Oryctolagus cuniculus: one gene and its partner. Each later gene encodes a partner of the first gene's protein in a complex. Links are inferred from orthologs where the notes say so. Each region holds a gene or a part of one and is shown in the gene's direction. Other genes may lie near its edges. The genes, in order: SCTR and SCT.

Region 1 (11,931 bases):
TATGTTCAACCAAACGGCAATGCAGAAAGATGAGTATGCTTTTTCCAATTATGTGGAGGAGACTGAGGCTTGGAGGGCTCAAATGACTTTCCCCGTGTTTCACATGGCTAATTGGAGAATCAGGCAGGGTTTGAACCCCGGGTTTGTCTGTTGTGCATTGCCTTCCCAGACTCTGGAAGGGTCTGGGGGGGGGGTGCACTTGACTTTCTTTGCTCCACCCAGCAAGGAGAAGACCTTGGGCATGCTAGCAACATTGTCTTTCCGATCTGGCTTTATTTGCTTTCTTTTATTTGGTCTGTGTTAACTACAATATTTCATATAAATATTCAAAAGGACGCTGACAGATGGAAGAGGAAAATAGAAAAAGTAAAGGAAATACGGCTTTCCTGAGAAAGCCAGCCTACATTTCCAGATTGTAAACAGTGAGCCTGGGCCATAAAAACCTCATTAAAATGTCAGCATTATGCCTTTGTACTTGAGGACTGAATAGGAAATCACGCTTGCCCCATTCTTTATGGCTCATCAATAATACATTAGCTGGGCTCCTAGGAAAGCTGCCATTCAGGAGGGGACAGCTCTCTTTGTTTGGTTTATTCAGTCCTCAAAGGGGCAGAGCAAGAGCCTTGCACTTACACAGTCACTTGGTGAAGACCTGAGACCCAGATACCCAGGGGTAGCCAATTACTCCCTCTTTCTCCACTGTTCTTTTTGCTCCACTCCCCCCATCCCACCCCCAACCAGTCCCTCTGGCTCAAAAGCCTGGGGAAGGCTTCCTTAAGTATAAGTCAGGGAATCTCCCGTTAGAAGTGATGGAAACTGACTCACACACACCCCACATTCGGAGAGGCAGAGCTGGCAGGGGCGGGGGTGAGGGAGGGGCTTCAGGAACATCTGCGTCTAGGAGCCAGATGCTGCTCTCCGGGACTGGTTTCTCCAGCTCTTGGATCTTCCCCACCCAGACTGGCTTCATTCTCACCAGCACCTCCTCATATTGTGCCACAGGCTGTACCTTGCAGTTAGCTTGATCCTACTGCCGACACAGGCTTTGTCTGTGGCACATCCAGTCACATGCCCATCCCCGATTAATGGCTGTGTGGTGAGCTGCAGGCAGGAGGAGGGTAGATGGGCTGAATCTCTTTGCCCAGGTCCAGCTCTTGTGCTCCCTCCTGGGCTGCTCTTGGTGAAAAGTCTCCCCAACTGCCAGCCACACTGTGAGTGAGGGTCTGAGAGATTCTTCTATCAGAAGGAAAGAGAATGGAGGTTAGATGGGCGAAAACCAACAGAAACCTACCACATTGACTCCTATAAAAGTGCTCTCACTCAGATACATCTGACCCACCAGAACGGTGACTAACATGAGTCAGATTTAATGACTCCACCTGCTCTGTCTGGTCCCGTACAATATGCTCTCAGAGAATGTATCGCCATCTGTAGCTTCATGTTTTTGTTTTTAAAGATTTATTTATTTATTTGAAAGTCAGAGTTTCACAGAGAGAGAAGGAGAGAGAGAGAGAGAGAGAGAGGGAGAGAGAGAGAGAGAGAGAGGTCTTCCATCTGCTGATTCACTCCCCAGTTGGTTGTAATGACTGGAACTGTGCCAATTCAAGGCCAGGAGCCAGGAGCCAGGAGCCAGGAGCTTCTTCTGGGTCTCCCACACGGGCACAGGGGCCCAAGGACTTGGGCCATCTTCTACTGCTTTCCCAGGCCATAACAGAAAGCTGGATTGGAAGTGGAGCACTCGGGACTTGAACTGACGCCCATATGGGATGCCGGCACTGCTGGCAGCGGCCTTACCCACTACGCCACAGCGTCAGCCCCACCATTTGTAGTTTCATTTGGTACACACTGTGGTTGCTATGTCAGCCAGCCAGCAGGTCTGAGAAGTGCGTGGCTGTGGCCATCTTGTAAATCTTGGATGCCAGCCCCAGTCGCCTTCCTGGGCCTCTGGGAATCGGGTGCACTCTCAGCAGCACAGCTTCCCGCATGGGCCTGAGCTTGCTGAAGGTAACTTCCCCAGGCCTCTGTCATCTTAGCACAGCACCTGCAGCAGAGCAGGTGCTCCGGAAATAGTCAACAACGAGCCTTAGTTTCCCAACAAGTGTTTATTGCCTTTAGAGAAATGCAAAATAAAGAAATAATTTTTAAAAAAACCCAAAATATAAAATGTGGTTGAAGAAATAATTACAAGTAGCATCTCCTGCTACATCATGAGTGTTCTCCATAAAAGGAAGAAAAGAAAGGCACAGCTCTACTACTGAGTCAGCATCGAGCCAGACCGCGTCGTGCACCCTCGGTGATCTGGAAGACTGCAAAGACAAATAAAAATCGCACCATTTTATATGGCCAGGCGGATGCAATCCTTCATACACGGTAGCTGTTTATAGCCAATGGAGAAAGAGCACTTGTCAGATCTTCTGCACAAGTGTGCAGTTACAGCTAGGAACCAAGAGCCTTGGCTAAATGGCCCCCAAACCCTGCACCCTGGACACTGTCCACCTCCACGTTCACATTTCAGTGGAATGGATCCATTTCAATGGGGGCATTTATGGGTTGCACAATTGGCCTGAGCCTTGCTTAGCTTTTATTTTTTAAAAAAGATTTATTTATTTATTTATTTGAAAGACAGTTACACAGAGAGAGGAGGCAGAGAGAGAAAGGTTGGTCTTCTATCTGCTGGTTCACTCCCCAATTGGCCACAATGGCCAGAGGGGCTCTGATCTGCAGTCAGGAGCCAGGAGCTTCTTCTGGGTCTCTCACACAGGAGAAGACTTGGGGAAGACTACCATGTGGGAGACCCGGAAGAAGCTCCCAGCTCCTGGCTTCGGATCAGCACAGCTCTGGCTATTGCAGCCATTTGAGGAGTAAACCAGTGGATGGAAGACCTTTTTCTCTGTCTCTCCCTCCCTCTCTCTCTGTAACTCTGCTTCTCAAATAAATCAATCTTAAACAAACAAAAAAAAAGCAAGTGAGGCTGGTGTGGAGCCTAGCGGATAAAGCCTGCAGTGCCAGCATCCCATATGGGTGCTGGTTTGAGTCCTGGTTGCTCCACTCCCGATCCGGCTCTCCGCTATAGCCTGGGAAAGCAGTGGAAGATGGCCCAAATCCTTGGACCCCTGTACCTGTGTGGGAGGCCCAGAAGAAGCTCCAGACTTCTGGCTTTGGATCAGCCCATTACAGCCATTTGGGGAGTGAACCAGCAGATGGAAGACCTCTCTCTCTCTCTCTCTCTCTCTGTCTGTAACTCTGCCTTTCAAATAATAAGTACATTTGAGAGAGGGAGAGAGAGAGAACATGAAAGCAATGCAAAAGTCTGTACATACACATTACAAGTCCGTATCACATGCTTACTGATGCACATTTAGGGTGTTGGGGTTTGAAGGACATTCTTTTTTCTTCCCAGCCTGAATGCATCTTGGACCAACTGAGAAATAAGACTCAGACAGACAAGGCCGAGTACCACTTCTGTTAGTGATCGAGTTGGCTTTGGAGAACGTGATTTATGCTTATGGGCAAGAAGGCTTTCTAACAGCACACCCCAGCTGAGAGAGAACATTACTCTGTCACTGGTAGGACTGGGCCAGCATAGGGCCAGCCTCGCCCAGGGCTATCCTCCCGTTGGCTCTGTGTAGGAGGCTGGGTGAGCTTGTCCATGGAAGAAGAGAAGAGGGTGCAGAACTCACGCCCGTTCCTTATGCCAAGGGAATCAGCGATGGGGAGCTCACCTCAGGGGTGTGTGTGTGTGTGTGTGTGTGTGTGTGTCTGTGTTTAGAGGCAGAAAAAGGATCAGACTAATGGTTGCTCACTCTGAGGAACCATCAAGGGCAAGCCTCGGGGTTCCCTTGACCTTGTCTGCTTCTGTAAGGGTGTTTCCACAAGGCTCCCCCCAACATGTTCCATCAGACCCTTTGGTGAGTATTTGTGTGGAGTACATTCCCAGAAGGAGGGCTAACATTGCACTTCATCGGTTAATCACTGACAACCCATATCGAAGCACCAGCAGGAGTTCCCGCTACGCCACTCCCAATCCAGCTTCCTGCTAATGTGCCTGAAAGGCGGTGTGGATGATGGTCCAAGAGCTTGGTCCCCTGCCACTCACCTGGGAGGACCGGATGGAGTTCCTGGCTCCTGGCTCTCGCCATTGGGGCCATTTAGGGAGTGAACCAGTGGTTGGAAAGTCTCTCCTCACTGTCCCTCTGCTTTTCAAATATAACATAATCTTTTTAACATTCCTAGAAGGGAGTCAGTGGTTATGTACACTTTGTGGGGGATGTGTACCGAGCTTTGATTTTGGACTTAGACGTTGAAAGTGTCCTCCCTTATCCTCTGCTGGGATGTATCAACCTCATCAACAGTCTCTGGGACGCAGCGGTACTAACAGCTGTGATGGCACAACTGTCACAGCTGGCTCTCACGCCCAAGTCAGCCACAGAGGCTCAGGCTTAGCCGTGAAGGTCTAGACCTGGGCTCCCTCTTTGAGCTTCTGGGTTGCATGACTCCGGGGTGGTGGGGGTGTTGGGGAGAGGGCGGGTTGCGGCGTAGATGGCTGGGCAGAGCCTGCGGGCGCCAGCTCCAGCACCGCGCCCTGCCTCTGCCTCCTCCCCCCGTCTGCCCCCAGCCAGTCTGCGCTGGACGGAGGAGCGCCCCTAGCGCAACGTCCTTATCTATGGGCCCCAGAGCGCAGAGCGTGCAGCCACCGCGTCCGCCCAGGATGGCTCCTCCAAGCTCTGCGGCTGCCCGGGACCCGGTACCCTGTCCGGGGCCCTGAGCTCACAAACTGGTCGAGCGCACCTGCCGGCGGCTGTCGAGGGGCGCGCGGGGCAACATGTGTCCCCGCCCGGGGCCGCCGCTGGGGCTGTGGTTGCTGCTGGGGTTCGCCTGCGCCGCCCACTCGGTGAGTACGGCGCGCTCCGCCGGCTTGGGGCCCCGAGTCCCACGCGAGATGAAGGTGGCGGGGGACAAGCCTTGCCTCCGCCCCATCCCAACAATAGACGGTCTGCTCTTCAGGAATAACAGCGGCTTGTACGGCTTGCAGCAGGCGGCTCCGGGACCCCCTCGCCCTCCGCCCCACCGCTCCCTCCTGCCCACGCGTCCTAGACGAAAATCTCTCAAGCCTCTCAAGCGCCGCTGGCCGCTGTGCCTCCAAAATGTCCTAGCAGCCTCATCGCTGCTTTTCCCAGCCGACAAACCAGAGCTTGGCACGGAAAGACAGAAACATGCCCGGTGCCAGGAAAGGAGGGTGGGAACAAACAGCCGTCCGCGGGGCCCGCCCTGAAGCCTTGACATTTCCCGGGGGCTGTGGCCACAGCTCCAGGGTTCGCGATGGCCGCTGTAGTGCTGCCTCTCCCGGGTCCTGGGTGCTCGGGTCCTAGATGGGTCTGGCAGCTCCTGGGAGCGGCCACTCCCCACAGACGGCCCACAGACGCGACGGCGTGAGAGGAAAGAAGGGGCGGAGTGGGGGGAGTTTGCTATTCTTGCCCACAGAAGCTCCTGAGAGTCTGGGGCTTCTGAGGTCTGTCTTAGTGAGAGAGTGGCTACTTGCAGGCGGGCACGATGGAAGAGCTGAGGACGAGGGCTGGGGGGGGGGGGCAGATTCTAGAACCACCCCTCCTCCCTGGCATTCCAAAGGGGCCCCCAAGGGCTTGGGGTCCCACAAGAGCTTGGGGACTCAATTCTGAACCTTCCATCTCTGGCTCCTGGGGTCCTGGCTCTTTGTCTTCCAGAACCTACTCCTGTGAGATTCTTAAGGGGAGTGGGTGACAGCCGTGGCACTTGTGGGGTGCCCAGCCAGCAGCTCCCTGACATTCTAGCAGCAGTAGCTTAGAAAAAATGCAATTTGGGGCTCACTCCCAGCTCCCCTGCAAGCTCCAAGCCTCATCTCTCAAGTGCATCCACCGCAATTTGGGGGGGCTGCCCCCCTGGGGCCCTGGGAGCAGCTCAAAGCCAAATACAGCCAGGAGATGTGTTACTCAGCGGCTAGGGCGGAGAAAGACAGTGCTGCCTCTTTTAGAGCCACCCCGACTCCTTGCTAAATGCTTGCAGTAACCCTCAGGTTGTCTTACCTGGCACCTGGGCTGTAGGACTGAGGATGAGCCTACGTCTCCAGGCGACCCTCAGGCTCTCTCAGGGATAAGCAGAGGGGGAAATGAGAAGACTTTTCTCCACGCAGATCTTCAGTGTGCCTTGCAAAGATGCTTCCTTAGGCTCTGGTTCAGTGGCCTCATTTTACAAATGAGCAAAGGGAGACTCACGGGGAGAAGGAAGCTACCTGCCTGAGATGTGCAAGTTTAGGAGCACAGCTGGGACTTGAACCCAGATCCCGTGATTTCCCAGCCACCGGGGGCTCTGTGCGTTATGCCCTCTTGGGTTTCCGTGACATTTCCACACACTCACGTGTTAATGCCTTGGAGTCCCTGTGTGCAGGTTGTGGTCCTTTGGCTTATGCAGGACAAGGGTTGTGTCTCACACTTCTTCACAGAGAAATTGCTTCAATGAATAGGTGTGGAATTGACCTACTTTCACTGGCGTATTCCCAGCCTTTGAAGCTCTGCTTTCCTCCTGTTTCACCCTGGGTGGTAAAATATCTGATCTCAAAATTTAAGGGGTTCAAATATGTTTAGGATAAATTTTATTTATTTATTTCCTTATAAGAGGCAGGCAGAAAGAGAGACAGAGAAAGCTCCTATCCGCTGGTTCATTCCCTAAATATTCACAATGACTGGGCCGGTCCATGGCCAAAGCCAAGAACTAGGAACTCAATCCGGGTCTCTCTAGTGAGTGGCAGGAACCTAATCACATGAGTTATCACTGCTGCCTCCCAGGGTCCATGTTAGCAGGAAGCTGGGGTCAGGAGCCAGAGGTGGGCACTGAACACAGCCCCAGTTGTTGCAGCCATCTGGGGGAGTGAACTCACTGATGGAAGATCTCTCTCTGTGTCTCTCTCCCTTTCTTTCTCTGTAACTCTGCCTTTTAATTAAATAAATAGATCTTTTAAAAACCTTTATGTATTAATTTTTTATTATAAAAGCTGACAGAGAAAGAGAGAGAGAGAGGCAGTAAATATCTTCCATCTGCTGGTTAAATCCCACATGGCTGCTAAAACAGCTGGGGCTGGGCCAGGCTGAAGCCGGGAGCCAGGAATTCCATCCAGGTCTCCCACGTAGGTGGCAGGGACCCAAGTCCTTGTGCCATCACCTGCTGTCTCCCAGGGTGCACATTAGCACAGAGCTGGACCAGGCACTTTGATGTGGGATGCGGGCTTCCAGACGGCGGCTTAACCCACTGCACCACGGCACCCGCCCCAAGGGGCAGCTTCCTAGGCTTCCTGTAAGGAGCCCTGAGCGCACATCCTCATGCCGCCTCTGCCCCCGTGCATCTCAGGAGAATATTTACAAACGTTATTCTAATTATTCTCCAACACATCTGTCCCCACCACACACCCTCCAATACGCTCACCTTGATCTTGAGCGTTGTCTTGTTTATCCCTTATCCCTAGGGCCTGCCATGGGGTAGGGGGAGCTCAGGGAGTGTGTTGAATGACAAGGGGTGAAAGGCCACATCCTGAAAGCAACCTCTGCTTGCTAAATTGCACATACATGTGTCCATCAGTGGAAAAACGGTCACTTGAATCCAGGCTTCTTAGTCCATGGCGCCTGGCAAACGGCCAACTTGGAACTCCAATGAGTGAAGTGGGGTACATGGGCTGTTTCTTTCTCCAAGCAGGCTTGCTTTCTTTCTTTTTTAAAGATTTATTTATTTATTTGAAAGTCAGAGTTACATAGAGAAGGAGAGGCAGAGAGAGAGGTCTTCCATCTGCTGTTTCACTCTCAACTGGCCACAACGGCTAGAGCTGTGCCAATCCGAAGCCAGGAGCCTCTTTGGGTCTCCCATGTGGGTGCAGGGGCCCAAGGACTTGGGCCATCTTCCACTGCTTTCCCAGGCCATAGCAGAGAGCTGGATCAGAAGTGGAGCAGCCGGGACTCAAACAGGCACCCATAGGGGATGCCAGCCCTGCAGGCGGCGGCTTTACCCACTATGCCCAGGCTGAGAACCACTGCTGGGTGTCCGAGGAGGTGCAGTCATGGCGCTCGTCGTAGGGGCTTGTGTTGGATTCACAGCTGTGGGAGTGGTGACTGGACTGGAGTCCAGTGACAGAAACAGGTGCACCTGGTGCAAGCCTGGAAGCCTTCTGTGAGGGGTGGGTTCCTGGATCGTTTCCATCTTCCCTTCCTCCCTCCACCCCCACCACAGTGGATGGTTCTAAACAAACAACAAACAAACCAACCCTCTGACTATGGGGTCTGGTGCATAGAAGCCTATGGGCATGGTGGCCCTGTCCCCATCTGTGGTGCTGACCAGGCCTGTGGTGGTGCAGTGGGCAGCCTGGAGGAAGGCCAGTAGGGATCCCAGGGGAGCTGGGGAACAGGTCATGGGTGACCCTTCAGAAGAAGGTCCCTGGGGATTCTTTTGTATGCCTGAGAAAATCACTTGCTACCTTAAAAATTATTTATTTATTTGAAAGGCAGAGAGAAAGAGAGCAACACTCATGCACACACACAGAGCGAGAGCGAGAGTGAGAGAGAAAGAGAGAGGGAGGGAGGCAGGGCACGAGAGAGGGAAGGAGGGAGCTCCTGCCTGTTGGTTCATTTGTCCTCCAAATGCCCTCAACAGCTGGGGCTCACCAGGCTGAAACCAGGAGCTTGGAACTGCACCCGGGTCTCCCCTGTGACCCCACTACCTGAGCCATCACCCACTGCCTCCCAGGCTGAGCATTAGCGGGAAGCTAGAATCAGCAGTGGAGCCGGAACGGAAACCCAGGGCTCTGATATGGGCTGTGGGTGTGCGAAATGCTACTCCGGATGCATTTTGAAGGAGTATTTGTGGATTTCTTTTTATGCTTTTACCATCCCTAAACGTTTGGGGTGAGTGATGATGGTGGTGGTGGATGATAAAGGCTTCCCTTACCGAGCTCTTGTTTCACACAAGACTCTGCGAAGTCCGCCCCAGCACCATCTCGTCTGGTTTTCACACGGGTGATCCCTTCCCCCATTGTGCAGATGAGAAGGCTGAGGCTCAGGGGGCGGGGGAGGAAGCCGTGTGCTCGCGGCCGCTCAGCCAGACGCGGTGGCACAGGACTCGGGTCCCAGTGCTCTTCTCGGGCACATCTTCCGGCTGCTCCAGTGGAGAGCACTGCTCTATGTTTCTCAAGCACAAAAGGCTTTCATAAAAGTCTCTCCCAGTCCTCACACTAACATTAATGCCTATTTCACCAGGTCACCTTGTAAATGGAAAACACATTACACAACACTTACTGAGGGGCTGGAGTTGAACTTGGGGAGGAAGGGTGCCAAGTGGCACAAACAGGAGATACCGCGTCCCGCGTTGCTTGGAGGAGTCCATGTCTTGCCTTGGCACCTCCTTTTGGGGTCCCACAGAGCTCCCCTGCCTCCACCCTCTCCCCAGTTACAACCCAGATTCCCTCCCGCGCCCAGGGAGAGGATAGCCTCGCTTCTCGGCAGCCCTTGTGGAATGCTCAGATTTCACATCTAGCATCAGAGCTCCACGCGGCAGGGGAGCCGTCCCTCCAGCTACCCCAGCCTCACTCCCCGCCTCATGCCCTCTGTACACTGAGAGTTCTCCCGGCTGACCTGCCCTCGGGCTCCTGGGACCTGGCGCAGCCCAGGGTGAAAGGCACAACACTCCGATCCTATCTGCTTGGTTACATGACAAACAGAAGGCTCCGTGTCGTGTGCACTTGGGAAATGAGACTATCCTCAGCATGCTATGTCTGACAGATGCCGAGGGGCCTCTGTGAAGGGGGCTCCTGGCTGATCGCAGCCTGCACCGTGCTGCCAGGAGCCCTATCCAGACCCCACCCTGCCATGGCCCACCTGGCTTCCTTACCCAGGCTCTCTGAGGTGCTTCAAATTCCTGACCGCCCCCTCCCCTGTCATTTTCAACACAGAGGGGTTGCCTCCCACTTGCTGACGGTCAAGGACACTTGGCTGAGTTTCCTCTGACCTACATGTTGCCCTGGTCGTTGGGTCTACACTATCCCCTCTGTCTGCTTCCTTCCTGTTTGTCCCAGGCCATCATCACTAAATGCCAGCCTGGGAGCTGACACTGTAGAAATTGACTTTCACAATTCTGGAGGCCGGAAGTCAGAAGTTCAAGATCAAGGCCAATGGGGTTCAGTGTCTTGTCGGTGAGGGGCTCCTTCCTGGCTGGCAGGTGGCTTTGTTTCCAGCCGGCCTCTCCTGAGAGGGGGCTGGGTTGCATTTTCTGGTGTTTATTCTTACAAAGACCCTGGAATCGGCGCCCTCCCCTCACATATAGCCCAAATTCCCTCCTTATGGGTCCTCCCTCCATGTGCAGCCCTGCTGAAGGTTCGGGCTTCAACATGTAGATTTGGGGCAAGGGGAGGACATAAGCAGTCCATTGCACCCTTCCCACTGCCAGTCCCTGTGCCTACCCACCCCACCCTCATCTCCAGGAGCTTCCTCCCGAAGTGACAGCGACAACTACATCACTTACTCTGCACTCTCTTCTGCACAGACAGTTCCCCATCCGCCACTCAACTTGCTCAAGTTAACCTAGCCTCGGTCCATATGCACTCTAGACACAAGGCTGCCCCCTGGTGGCCGGTGTCTTAGGTGCAGATTCTCAGAAGTAGAGTATTTAATTGACCAAAGAATCTGAGCATTTTTGTAACATTTCTTTTTTTTTTTATTTTATTTTATTTTTTTTTATTTTATTTTTTTGACAGGCAGAGTGGACAGAGAGAGAGAGAGAGACAGAGAGAAAGGTCTTCCTTTTGCCGTTGGTTCACCCTCCAATGGCCGCCGCGGCCGGCGCGCTGCGGCCGGCGCACCGCGCTGATCCGATGGCAGGAGCCAGGAGCCAGGTGCTTTTCCTGGTCTCCCATGGGGTGCAGGGCCCAAGCACCTGGGCCATCCTCCACTGCACTCCCTGGCCACAGAAGAGGGCTGGCCTGGAAGAGGGGCAACCGGGACAGAATCCGGCACCCCGACCGGGACTAGAACCCGGTGTGCCGGCGCCGCAAGGCGGAGGATTAGCCTAGTGAGCCGCGGCGCCGGCCATTTTTGTAACATTTAATAGATAATAGTTCCTTAAATTACTGAAAAGACTGTGCCTGTTTGGCGCTTTCTCACATTTGAGGAGTAATGTTACTTTCAAAGTGGCTCGAAACCGGAAGTGTGGCTACTGATGAGCTGAAGGGCAATGGCTGCCAACCTGCAGGTGGATTTTCCCATTCAAGCCCTTCCACGGAAAAACCAGCCAGTGCCAGAGACCGTGGGCTTCAGCTAAGTCTGGATGAGTCCCACAAGGAAGAGGACAAGGGCACAAGTGTGTGGCGCTGTGCCAAGGCCAGCTCTCTTGACAATTACTATACAAAGGGTCTTTGAAAAGTTCACAGAAAATGTACATTATGAACAAATGCATGGATTTTAAAAAAAGGTGCAAAAATAAATTTGTCTTGATTCCACTTTTCCACAATTTTTGTACTACTCTCATATTTTTAAGAAATATGACCTATTTGTGTCCCTGCTACCCACATGGGGACTTGGATTGCATTCCAAGCCTCAGCTGTTGTAGGTGTTAGAGGAGTGAGCCAACAATAGGTGCTTGGTCAGTCTGTCTCTCATTACACACACACACACGAGGATGTGTGTAGGTTACATGTTAATACATGACTTTTATATAAAGGACTTGATTATCCTTGGATATGAGTATTTTCCGGGCATCTGGGAACCTGTCACTCACTGATCAAAGGGGGTGACTGTAGCCGTTCCAGTGTCAGAGTCTTGTAGCAAACATAGCAAACAGTGCGTCCAAATCGCTGGCTGTTTAGTGTCAAGAGCAAAATGGAAACTTAGGGTTGAGGGTGGGGAAGGAATGGGCGTTAAGTGGCCT
Region 2 (10,019 bases), on another chromosome or scaffold:
GCCGCGGGGGCACGGCGCAGGCCGGACACAGCGCGCGCGTGATGTGCACCACGAAGAAGGGCGTCCAGCACACGAGGAAGGCCCCTGCGGGCGCCCAGAGCCGTGCGCTGAGCGGCGCTCGCTGCCCAGCCCTCCCGCCCCTCCGGGACCGCCGCCCGCGTGCAGGAACGCACCGACGACCACCGGCAGGACCCGCATGGCCTTGCGCTCGCGGCCCGGGATCTTGGCGCGCCTCCTCTTGCGCGCCTGCGGCTCGGGCGGCGGCGGCGGCGGCAGCGGGGGCGGCGGCTCGGGGGCGGCGGCGGGGGCGGCATCCGGGGACGCGCAGTCCGGGGACGCGCAGGCCGGGCGCTCGGGGAGGCCGGGCGCGGGCGGGCCAGGGCCGCTGGGCCTGCGGGGCTCGCGGCCCTGCAGCTTGGCGCGCCGGGCCTCCTCCCAGCGCCGCAGGCCGCGGAACGTGGCCCAGTACAGCAGCAGCATGAGCGGGCAGGGCAGGAAGAAGGAGCACACGGACGAGTAGACCACGTAGTCGCTGTCCTCCAGGCGGCACACGGCGGGGTCGCGGCCGCTCACATCGTTCAGGCCGCACAGCACCGGCGCGGCCACCGCGGCCGACAGCAGCCACGTGGCGCCGATGAGCAGCAGCGGGCGTCGGCCCCCGCCCTGGCGGTTGTAGTGCAGCGGCACCGCCACGGCCACGAACCTGCGGGGCCCGGGAGCGCGTGAGCGCGTGCGGCGGGGGGCCCGGGACCGAGTAAGCGCATATGGCGGGGCGCGCACGCGGCCCACCTGTCCACGCTGATGGCGCACAGGTTGAAGATGGAGGCGGTGCACAGCATGACGTCCATGGCCATAAGCGCGTCGCACAGGCGGGGGCTCAGCAGCCACACGCCGCCCTGCACCTGGGCACAGCGGTCACACGTTGTGACCCGGGCACGGGGCCGAGGCACGGCACCGGTCTCAGGGTGGGTCTGGGCTCCGGTCGGCAGGGACCCCGCCGGCCCCGGAGCCTGCCCCGGGGAGAGCCGAGCGTCCCCATCGCAGCCGTCCTGGGATGAACCCTGGTAAAAAGTGTGAAGACGGCAGGAGGGCGGCCGCCGGGGCCGGGGTGGGGGCGTCGGTCCCCAGGGGCTGGGAGCGGACGGCGCCCCCTGTAAATCCCGCTGCCCGGAGAGGCTGAGCGGCTTAGGCGGCGTCACGGTGACGTCCGTGGGGCCGGGAGCGGCGGAGGTCGCGCTGTCAGGCGCTGCACAATGGCCCCTCCCCCGCAGCCCAGGACAACGCGTCCCCAACCCTAAGCCGCTTTTCTCCGGCCACACTCAGAGCAGAAGCGTTGACACCAACGTGGACCCCTCCCGGGCCAGCACTGGCCTGGGGCGGGGACCCTCGCTCGAGCTCCGCGGTCCGGCCCGGGTCTCCCCTCCGTCCACCCGCTCCTGACCCGTGGGTGCCTAGGCTGGAGGCCTCCCTGCGTGCACGGTGCGCCCGCGTGACCTGGCGCGGGCCTGATGGGAGTGTGTCCGTGCCCGGGGGACCCTGGGGCATTCCCCCCCGCCCGGCCCTGGGACCTCTTGGGTCGCGGACCCCGAGACGGGAGAGAGGGGAGCGCTGGGCGGGGAGCGCAGACGGCAGGGTCCCGGGCGCCCGCGGGGGCGCGGGCTCACCTCGGAGTAGACGAAGAGCGGCAGCACCAGCAGGGCGAGCAGCAGGTCGGCGGCCGCCAGGCTCACGATGAAGTAGTTGGTGGGCGTCTGCAGGGCGCGCTCGGCCGCCACGCTCGCGCACACCAGCGAGTTCCCCGCCAGCACCGCGCCGATGAGCAGCACGCCGCCCGCCAGCGCCGCCGCGCCCCCGGCCCCTAGCCCCGCAGCCGCCCCCGGCGCGCGCCCGGCCGCCAGCCCGCCCGCGTCCGCGGCGCTGCGGTTCCCCATGGCGCGCTGGCCCCGCGCGCCCCGGCGGGCGCCAGCACCGCGGTCAGCGCCCCGCGCGGCCTCCAGGAGTCCCGCCCCGGGCTCGCCCCGCCCGGCCCTAGTCCCGCCCCCGCCCGGCCCAGCCCAGCCCCGGCTCGGGGCCCCTGCGGCTTGGGGCCCGCGCTCCGTGCGCCGCCGCACAGAGGGACGGGGATTCGGCGGCAGCGCCCGGGGAAACCGGGCACCGGCTCGGCCTCCGTCCGCATGTCCGGGAGGCCCGCAGGCCCTTCCCGCACGCTGCCCTCCAGACACCCGCGCAACGCAGAACGACTCCGCGGACGCTGCCCACACCTGGTCCGCTTCCCGCCCCGGAGCGCCCCGCGGCTCGCCTGGCCGACCTCCTCGGTCTCCCCCTGTCGGGGCCGCCGCCTCTGGCCCGGGCTGGTGCTGCGTCGCCCAGGTCGCCTCGCCAGCCGCACCGGACCCCCGCCCGTCCCGAGGAGCCGTGAAGGAAACGCGGGAGCGCTCCCGCCCGGGGAGGGTCCCGGACCCCTGAGAAGACAGCAGATGGCACGCGGATGAGGATCCTCAGCAGGGACTCAACCCGGGTGCGGCTGACATGGGAGCCGTTCTCTGCACAGGGCGGTCCCTGTTCTCACACCGGGTGCACGACCGGGCGCGCGTTACAGAGAACCAGGGGCAGACATAGACCCTGGACGGCGCTCGGAGGGCCGGAGCCACGCGGGGTCTGCGGGGCCGGGACCGCAGGCGCTGGCCGCGAGCCCCCACTCCCACCCCGTGCAGCTCCGCAGGCGGGAGCCCTGTCTTCCCTGTGGTCCGGTGCAGGAGCGGAGCTGGTGCTGTACAAAGGGAGGGGCCGGGCCTGCTCAGGTCTGTGTGGAGCCCCCTCCTCCACCCACCCAGAGTCCACCACTGCTGTTTTATTATTATTATTTTCAAGATTTACTTTCTTATTTGAAATTTGTAGTTCCAAAGAGAGAGAGAGAGAGAATGTTCCGTCCACTGTTCACTCCACAAACGTCCGCAATGGCCGGGGCTGAGCCAGGAGCCTCCTCCGGGTCTCCCACGTGGGTGCAGGGGCCCAAGCAGCTGGGCCGTCTTCCACTGCTTCCCAGGTGCATTAGCAGGGAGCTGGAAGGGAAGAGGAGCAGCCGGGACTCCAGTTGGTGGCCGCGTGGGACGCCGGCCGCTGTGTCTCTCAGCGCACTTGGAGCTCCTTGGCTGGTGCCAGCACGCACACTCGTGGATTCTGCCGGACCTGCAGCCGAAGCAGCGCAAGTTTCCTGACGTCACTGTGGGCGGGCGTTGGGCTTCGTGGTTACCATGCCGGTCGGGACACCCACAGCCCGTGTGAGACTGCCTGGGTTCCTGAGCCCAGCTTCCTGCTAAGGTGCACCCTGGGAGGCAGCAGTGACCACTGGAGTGACTGGGTCCCAGCCCAGTCCTGGCTGCTGGGGGCGGAGGTGGATCGGAGGATGGGAGCCCTGCCTGTCCATCAGTCAATCAATTTTAAAAGGGAGTGGACCATCCTGGAAGAAGGGTGCCCAGAAGTTAGTCTTGGAGGTTGGAGGCGTGGCTCAGAGCTGTCCCAGGCTGGGAAGGGTGTGGCCTCTGGGAGGGGCAGCAGGTGCAGGGGGCCTGACCCTGCCAATGGTTGTACAGCTGCTGCGGGGCCACTTTTGCAGAGGTCGCTGGGATGCCCGGTCACCGGAGTGGGCAGTTGGCACAGCCATTTGGAAGCCGTGACCTGGACCTGAGCGCCTGGGCGGGAGTTCCAGCTCCACTCCTTTTTTTTTTTTTTTTTTTTTTTGTTAACTTTAAGAAAATTTTTTCAGCCTTTAACACTCAGTATTGGGTTAGCAGTTGTTAAGCCATAGCACGTGCATTATTTGTTCAAATAACAATTTAAATTTACATTATAGGGGCCGGCGCCGTGGCTCACTTGGTTAATCCTCTGCCTGCGGCGCCGGCATCCCATGTGGGCACTGGGTTCTAGTCCCAGTTGCTCCTCTTCCAGGCCAGCTCTCTGCTGTTGTCCGGGAAGGCAGTGGAGGATGGCCCAAGTGCTTGGGCCCTGCACCCATATGGAAGAGCAGGAGAAACACCTGGCTCCCGGCTTTGGATCGGTGCAGTGCCGGCCGTGGCAGCCATTTGGGGGGTGAACCAATGGAAGGAAGAACTTTCTCTCTCTCTCTCACTGTCTAACTTGCCTGTCAAAATAAATAAATAAAAATCTTTAAAAAAATTTTACATTATAGTCAAGGGCTTATTGGTTTTGACTCCACTCAGCTCTCTCGCGCGCTCTCTCTCTCTCTCTTTTTTTTTTTTTTTTTTTTTTTTTTTTTTGGACAGGCAGAGTTAGACAGTGAGAGAGAGAGAGACAGAAAGGTCTTCCCTCCGTTGGTTCACTCCCCTAATGGCTGCCACGGCCGGCGCTGTGCCGATCCGAAGCCAGGAACCAGGTGCTTCTCCTGGTCTCCCATGGGGTGCAGGGCCCAAGCACTTGGGCCATCCTCCACTGCACTCCCGGGCCACAGCAGAGAGCTGGCCTGGAAGAGGGGCAACCGGGACAGAATCCAGCACCCCAACCGGGACTAGAACCCGGGGTGCCTGCACCACAGGCAGAGGATTAGCCAAGTGGAGGTGTCGACCCTCCACTCAGCTCTTTTTTAATAAATATTTTCTTTTTATTTAAATATTTGTTTGTTTATTTGAAAGACAGAGTTGTAGAGAAAGAGAGTCTTCCACCTGCTGGTTCACTCCCCAGATGGGGAAACAGGGCTGGGCTGGCCCAGGCTGAGGCCAGGAGGTTCCTCCAGGTCTCCACCTGAGCCGGCCCCCACTGCTTTCCCAGGACACAGCAGAGAGCTGGATAGGAAGTGGGGCAGCCGGGACTCGAACCGGCGCCCACATGGGATGCCGGCCCTGCACAGGGAGGCTTTACCGGCTGTGCCACAGCGCCGGCCCAAAACAACACATCTGAGTGATCCGCGCCAAATAAGTCCCCAAGAGCGAGGACAGGGCAGCGACCCGGCGCCAGGCGCGGTGACGTCGGCGCAGCGGCGCGGGGCGCGGTGAGCACCTGGGGGGGGGGGAGTCCCTCCCCGCCGAGGGGGAGCCGGCCCGGACACCTGCCACGCGGATGGCACCGAGGCCCTGCCCCCTTGTCCTGGACGCTGACCCGGAGGCAGGTCCGCACGGCCGCATATGCAGTGAATTCGGCAAAATCTAAAAAAGTGTCAAATCTCCAATTTAAAAATACTTCTGTGGGCACAGAGGAAAATAAACCACAGTGTACCCCAGAGAAGTGTGTGCTTGTTGTTAATAAGTATCTTAAATTAAAAAAAGGTTGACGTTTCAAATTGTATCACGCATTTCTTTTGTTTATTTGACAGGCGGGGAGACACAGAGGAGGGAGAGGGGAGAGAGAGCGAACCTCCATCTCCCGGTTCACTGCCCGAATACCCGCAAAACCAGGGCTGGCCAGGCCGAAGCCAGGGCTCCATCCGGGTGTCCCCCGTGCGCGGCAGGGTCCAAGCACCTGAGCCGGGGAAGGCTCGCCCTCCCGGACAAGGGGCGCCGCCGTGGCGCAGGGGGCGGGCGCCGGCGCGTGCGACAGCTGGGGGGGCGGCCCCGGCCTGCGGAGACCGGTGGGCGCGGCCGGGCCGCGTGGAGCCGGGGCGGCGCTGGGCGCCCCCGGTCCGGGCGCCGCTATAAAGCGCCGGGGCTGCGGGCGCGCCGGGAATTAGGCCTGCCCGCGCCCACCATGGCCCCCCGGCCCCTGCTGCTGCTGCTGCTGCTCCTGCTGCCGCTCGCGGGCCCCGCCGCGCCCGCGCCCGCGCCCGCGCCCGCGCCCGCGCCCGCGCTGGGCCAGCTCCCCAGGCTGCGCGGCGCCCCTACCCCCGGCCGCGCGCGCCGTCCCCCGCCCCGGGCCCCGCGCCACTCGGACGGGACCCTGACTAGCGAGCTCAGCCGCTTGCGGGACCGCGCGCGCCTACAGCGCCTGCTGCAGGGCCTCCTGGGCAAGCGCAGGTGAGCGTGGGCAGGTGAGGGCGCGACCGGCGCGGGGGAGACCCGGCCTGGGACGGCCGGCCACCTGCGCTCTGACTGGTTGTGTGTGTCTGTGCAGCCAGCAGGACTCCAAGCCCGGCCCAGCCTCCTGGTCCAGGCCCTGCCCGAAGTGGTCCCACTGCCCACCTGCAGGCCTGGTGAGCGCCCTGCTCCTGCCAGCTCCTGTCCCCTGGGACCCTGTGTGTGGGGGTGGGGTTACGGGGAGTCTCCAGCTCCCAGGCCGCAGCCCCCAAGGTGCCTGTCTCCGCAGGAGGCTCCTCGGGCCACCCCTGGGCCCCGCCTGGTCAACCCTGCTGCCTCCTGGGCCCGGGGCTGGGGTCTTGGTTTTGGAGCTGGCCAGCACCGAGACTGAAGCAGCGCCTTGGATGCCCTGATGTTGACCACGGAGAAGGAGGGGGTCCTGCAGGGGGCAGGCGGGGGGGGGTTGTCCTCGCACTAATAAAGGAGGAACTGGGACCCCTGATCCGTGGCTGCCGTGTGGGAGCAGGGCCCCAGAGCTCGGACCACGCCCAGCTGCCCTTTATCCCTGGGAGCCACTGGGCCACCTGCTGTCCATCCTCTGAACTCCCCAGGGTGTGCCCCTCCCCGGGCCTTGCAGTAGGGATGTGGGGGAGAAGAGGGGTGGGGGGAGACGGGGTGGTGGCCCAGGATTCCGGGAGCAGCACCCCGTGACTGCCGGGCTGGCCATGGCGTCCATGCTGGGCGGGGTCCCACCGCAGGCCAGGGATGGACCCCGTCCCTGAGCTCCTCCCTCCTTCCTGGCCTCTCCCTGGCCGCTGGAGGTGTGGGGGTCCCAGGAAGAGATCAGGACCCTCAGAGCCCTGCAGGGGTGCCTGGGACACAGTCGGTTCCTGTGGGATTTAGACGGCGAGGGAGGGGAGGTGGGCCTGGAAGGGAACCCTGGACCCCCGCCTTGCCGTGGGCCTTGCAGCCCCCATCACGGTGCCCCAGGCCGTAGCCCCAGCAGCTCACACCTCGTGCTTTGGCGTCTGTGGGTTGAGCCCCAGGTGACCCTGGGGTGGAGTGGGGGGGCAAGTGACCACCTGGCGTCCCCCTCCTGGCTGCGGCCAGCCCGTGCCCAGCCGGCCGGCGGGATCCCCCCTGGCAGAGGCCAGCCGTGAAGCCATAAAGCAGGGCGGTGCCTGCCAGGGGCAAAGGTCGTGCGAGGCAGGAACTGCAGCAGTCCAGGACGGCAGGGGGACGGACAGACGCCAGACGCCAGCCGGCCGGATGACAGCCACCAGGACGGGGACCTGGCCCCTGCGGTGGCCTCCCCTGCTGCTGCTGCTCCTGGGGCTGCCGGGCCAGCCCTGGGGGGCTGAGGCGCAGACACAGGGCAGGTGCCGGGCAGGGGCGGGGGCGGGGGCGGGGTGGGGGCGGGGCTGGGTGCTGACCCGTGCTGTCCGCTGCAGTCTGCTCCATCAACCAGACCCTCTTCGAGGTGAAGGAGAACTCGGACGTGGCGAAGCCCCTGGTTGACATCTACGTCCCCGATGGCCTGCAGGTGGCCCTCGGCCCCTCGACCACCGCCGCCTCATTCCGGATCCAGGGGACTCAGCTGTTTCTCAGCGCGAGTCCAGACTACGAGGTGGGAGCGGCCCTCCCCCCCCATCCCCTCCCGGGCACAGTTCTGCCAGGCAGTGGCTGATCTGGCGTCGGCCCCGGGCTTGGGGGCTGTGGCCGGCAGCCATCCTCCTGCCTGGGCGGCCGGCCTGTGCAGCGGGGACCGTGTGCTGGGCACTGGGCAGGCGCCTCCCCACGTCCCCCTGCCTCCGCAGGCCGTGACCTTCCTGGAGGCCGACCTGGAGTGCAGGAGAGGGACCACGGTGGTGAGTCCGCCCCTCCCAGCCCCTCCCACGCTAGAGTGCAGGGATGAGCTCACCCAGGGCACGCTTCCCCGGCCACACCCGAGACCCGCGGCCCGGCGCCCCGGCACCCATACCCTGGCCTCAGCCACCAATATGTCTGGAACTTCCGACTGGCCTGCTTGCTCCCTTTACCCCGGCCCACCTCAGCCCCCTCCTCGGTGGCGGCTGGGATGCCGGCCACACCCAGGGCCGGGACCCCACAGGGGTTCACAGCGCCCTGGCCCCAAGAGTGAGGGAAGGGGGGAGCGGGCTGGGCACCCCGGGGACCCTCAGGGAGACGCCGGCCACGCCCTGCAGGTGACGAGGCTGCGAGTGTTCGTGACCGTGCTGGACGTCAACGACAACCTCCCCACGTTCCCCTTCGACACCCTGCAGAAGGGTGTGGAGGAGGTTAGCCCGGTGGCGCCTCGGGGCCGGCCCTGGGGGCTGGGGGCTGGGCCAGGGGCTTGCCCCTGGGGTCTCCAGTGTGGCCCACCCCAGCCCACCCCTGTCCATGCCCAGGATACGAAAGTGAACTCCACAGTCATCCCCGAGACAGAACTGGAAGCCAAGGACCTCGACGAGAGCGACACCTTGTTCTACACACTCCAGGAAGTGACCCCGGTCCGTGCTGCCCCGGCCCCCGGCAGACACCAGCCTGTGCCCACCCCCCAGCCTCTCAGGTCACGTCCCCCTCTCTTCAGGGTGCTGGGCACTTCTTCTCCCTGGCGGGCGCAAACCACCCTGCCCTAAGGCTGGACCGGACCCTGGACTTCGACAGGTGGTCAGAAATGACCTTCCGGCTGCTGGTGCGGGTGAGCAGGCCCCACCAGCCCCGGGTGCTGGACACTGGACACTGGGGCCCCAGTGAGGCTGCTGCCCGCCTGACCAGTGGCTACTGCAGGACACCCAGCAGGAGAACGAGCTGCCCAGCCACACGGCCACGGCCACCCTGATCCTGAAGGTGCTGCCCGCTGACCTGCGGCCACCCTGGTTCCTGCCCTGCAGCTACTCAGATGGCCACGTCTGCATCCAGGCCCAGTACCAGGGGGCAGTCCCCACGGGGCACACGCTGGTAACGGGGTGCTGCCGCCGGCCCGGGCGGGGTCAGGGCGGGCTTGGGTCCTCCCAGCTTTGGTGACATCCAGCCGTGGGCACTGGGCCCTGGGCCCTGTTGGGCACTGCCGAGCAACTCCCTCCCCAGCCACCAGGGGGCAGTGGGCCCTGGCTGGGCAGTGCACGGGAGGCAGGAGTCCAACTTCCCTGTGAACATTCCTGCTGACCCAGCATTCAGATGTCCCTGAGACTCGGGCCTGGCAGGGACATGTGGCCATTGGCCAACTGGGCCCCGCCGCGGCCCCGGCTGGCCACCACACCCGTCCCACAGTGTCCCCTCCCCTGGCCGTCCCCACAGCCAGGTCCCCTCACCCTACGCCCTGGACCCATCTACGCTGAGGACGGAGACTCGGCCATTGGCCAGCCCATCATCTACAGCCTGCTGGGGGGTGAGTGAGGCCCTGTCCCCAGCCCCATCCCCACCTGGGCCCAGCCAGGATGTGAGGCTGACCACCTGCTCACCCTCCCAGGAAACCAGGGCGGCGTGTTCGCCATCGACGCCAACTCGGGCCACCTCACCATGGCCAGCAGCATCCCCAGCCCCACGACCTTCGTCCTGCTGGTGAAGGTGGGTGCCGGCATTGTGTGGGGTGGGGTCCCCCGGCCCTCCTGCACCCTGACCCCGTGCACCCCCTGTCCCCCAGGGCGAGCAGGCCGACCTGGCCAGGTATTCCGTGACCCAGGTCACCGTGGAGGCCCGTGCGGCCACGGGCAGCCCACCCCGCTTCCCCCAGAGCCTGTACCAAGGCACGGTGGTGCCCGGCTCCGGCGCCGGCACGGTGGTCAGGGACGCAGTTTCCCCGGCTCAGCCGCTGAGGATCCAGGCTCAGGACCCCGACTTCCCGGTACACGGAGCTGCCCGCTGGCTCGGGGGGGGGGGTCCCTGGCCTTCCCTGGGACAGAGCGTGCAGGACTGACTGGGGCCGTGGCAGGACTTCAACTCAGCCATCACGTATCGCGTCACCAACTGCTCAGAGTTCCAGATGGAGGGCGAGACCATGCTGACCACCACCCAGCTGCCCCACGCTTCGGTCTTCTATGCAGAGGTGCAGGG

Evidence for each region.
Region 2: the proteins of SCTR (region 1) and SCT are in contact, whole or in part, in a cryo-EM structure (PDB 6WZG), measured with the Homo sapiens proteins. The link is inferred for Oryctolagus cuniculus from reciprocal best matches to the Homo sapiens genes SCTR and SCT. Residues at the interface, in NP_002971.2 of Homo sapiens: Arg30, Leu31, Cys32, Leu35, Asp71, Asn72, Pro117, Val125, Val127, Asn128, Asp129, Asn132, Arg135, His136, Leu139, Leu140, Leu142, Lys143, Tyr146, Tyr150, Arg188, Asn192, Lys195, Leu199, Phe200, Ser202, Asp203, Val205, Met219, Phe222; in NP_068739.1 of Homo sapiens: His28, Ser29, Asp30, Gly31, Thr32, Phe33, Thr34, Ser35, Glu36, Leu37, Ser38, Arg39, Leu40, Arg41, Glu42, Arg45, Leu46, Gln47, Arg48, Leu49, Leu50, Leu53, Val54.

The regions. Positions count from the first base shown.
Region 1 is NC_091434.1:117,357,894-117,369,824, reverse strand, and holds the start of SCTR (secretin receptor), read left to right. Parts: upstream 1-4,630; 5' UTR 4,631-4,822; coding exon 4,823-4,891; intron 4,892-11,931.
Region 2 is NC_091432.1:250,729-260,747, reverse strand, and holds SCT (secretin), read left to right. Parts: upstream 1-5,667; 5' UTR 5,668-5,697; coding exon 5,698-5,963; intron 5,964-6,060; coding exon 6,061-6,139; intron 6,140-6,252; coding exon 6,253-6,354; 3' UTR 6,355-6,392; downstream 6,393-10,019. Other genes in the region: DRD4 (D(4) dopamine receptor), read right to left, coding at 1-84, 174-703, 790-902, 1,665-1,931; CDHR5 (cadherin-related family member 5), read left to right, coding at 7,233-7,338, 7,415-7,590, 7,781-7,831, 8,168-8,260, 8,372-8,473, 8,554-8,664, 8,754-8,924, 9,264-9,354 and 3 more. UniProt on the Homo sapiens protein: Hormone involved in different processes, such as regulation of the pH of the duodenal content, food intake and water homeostasis.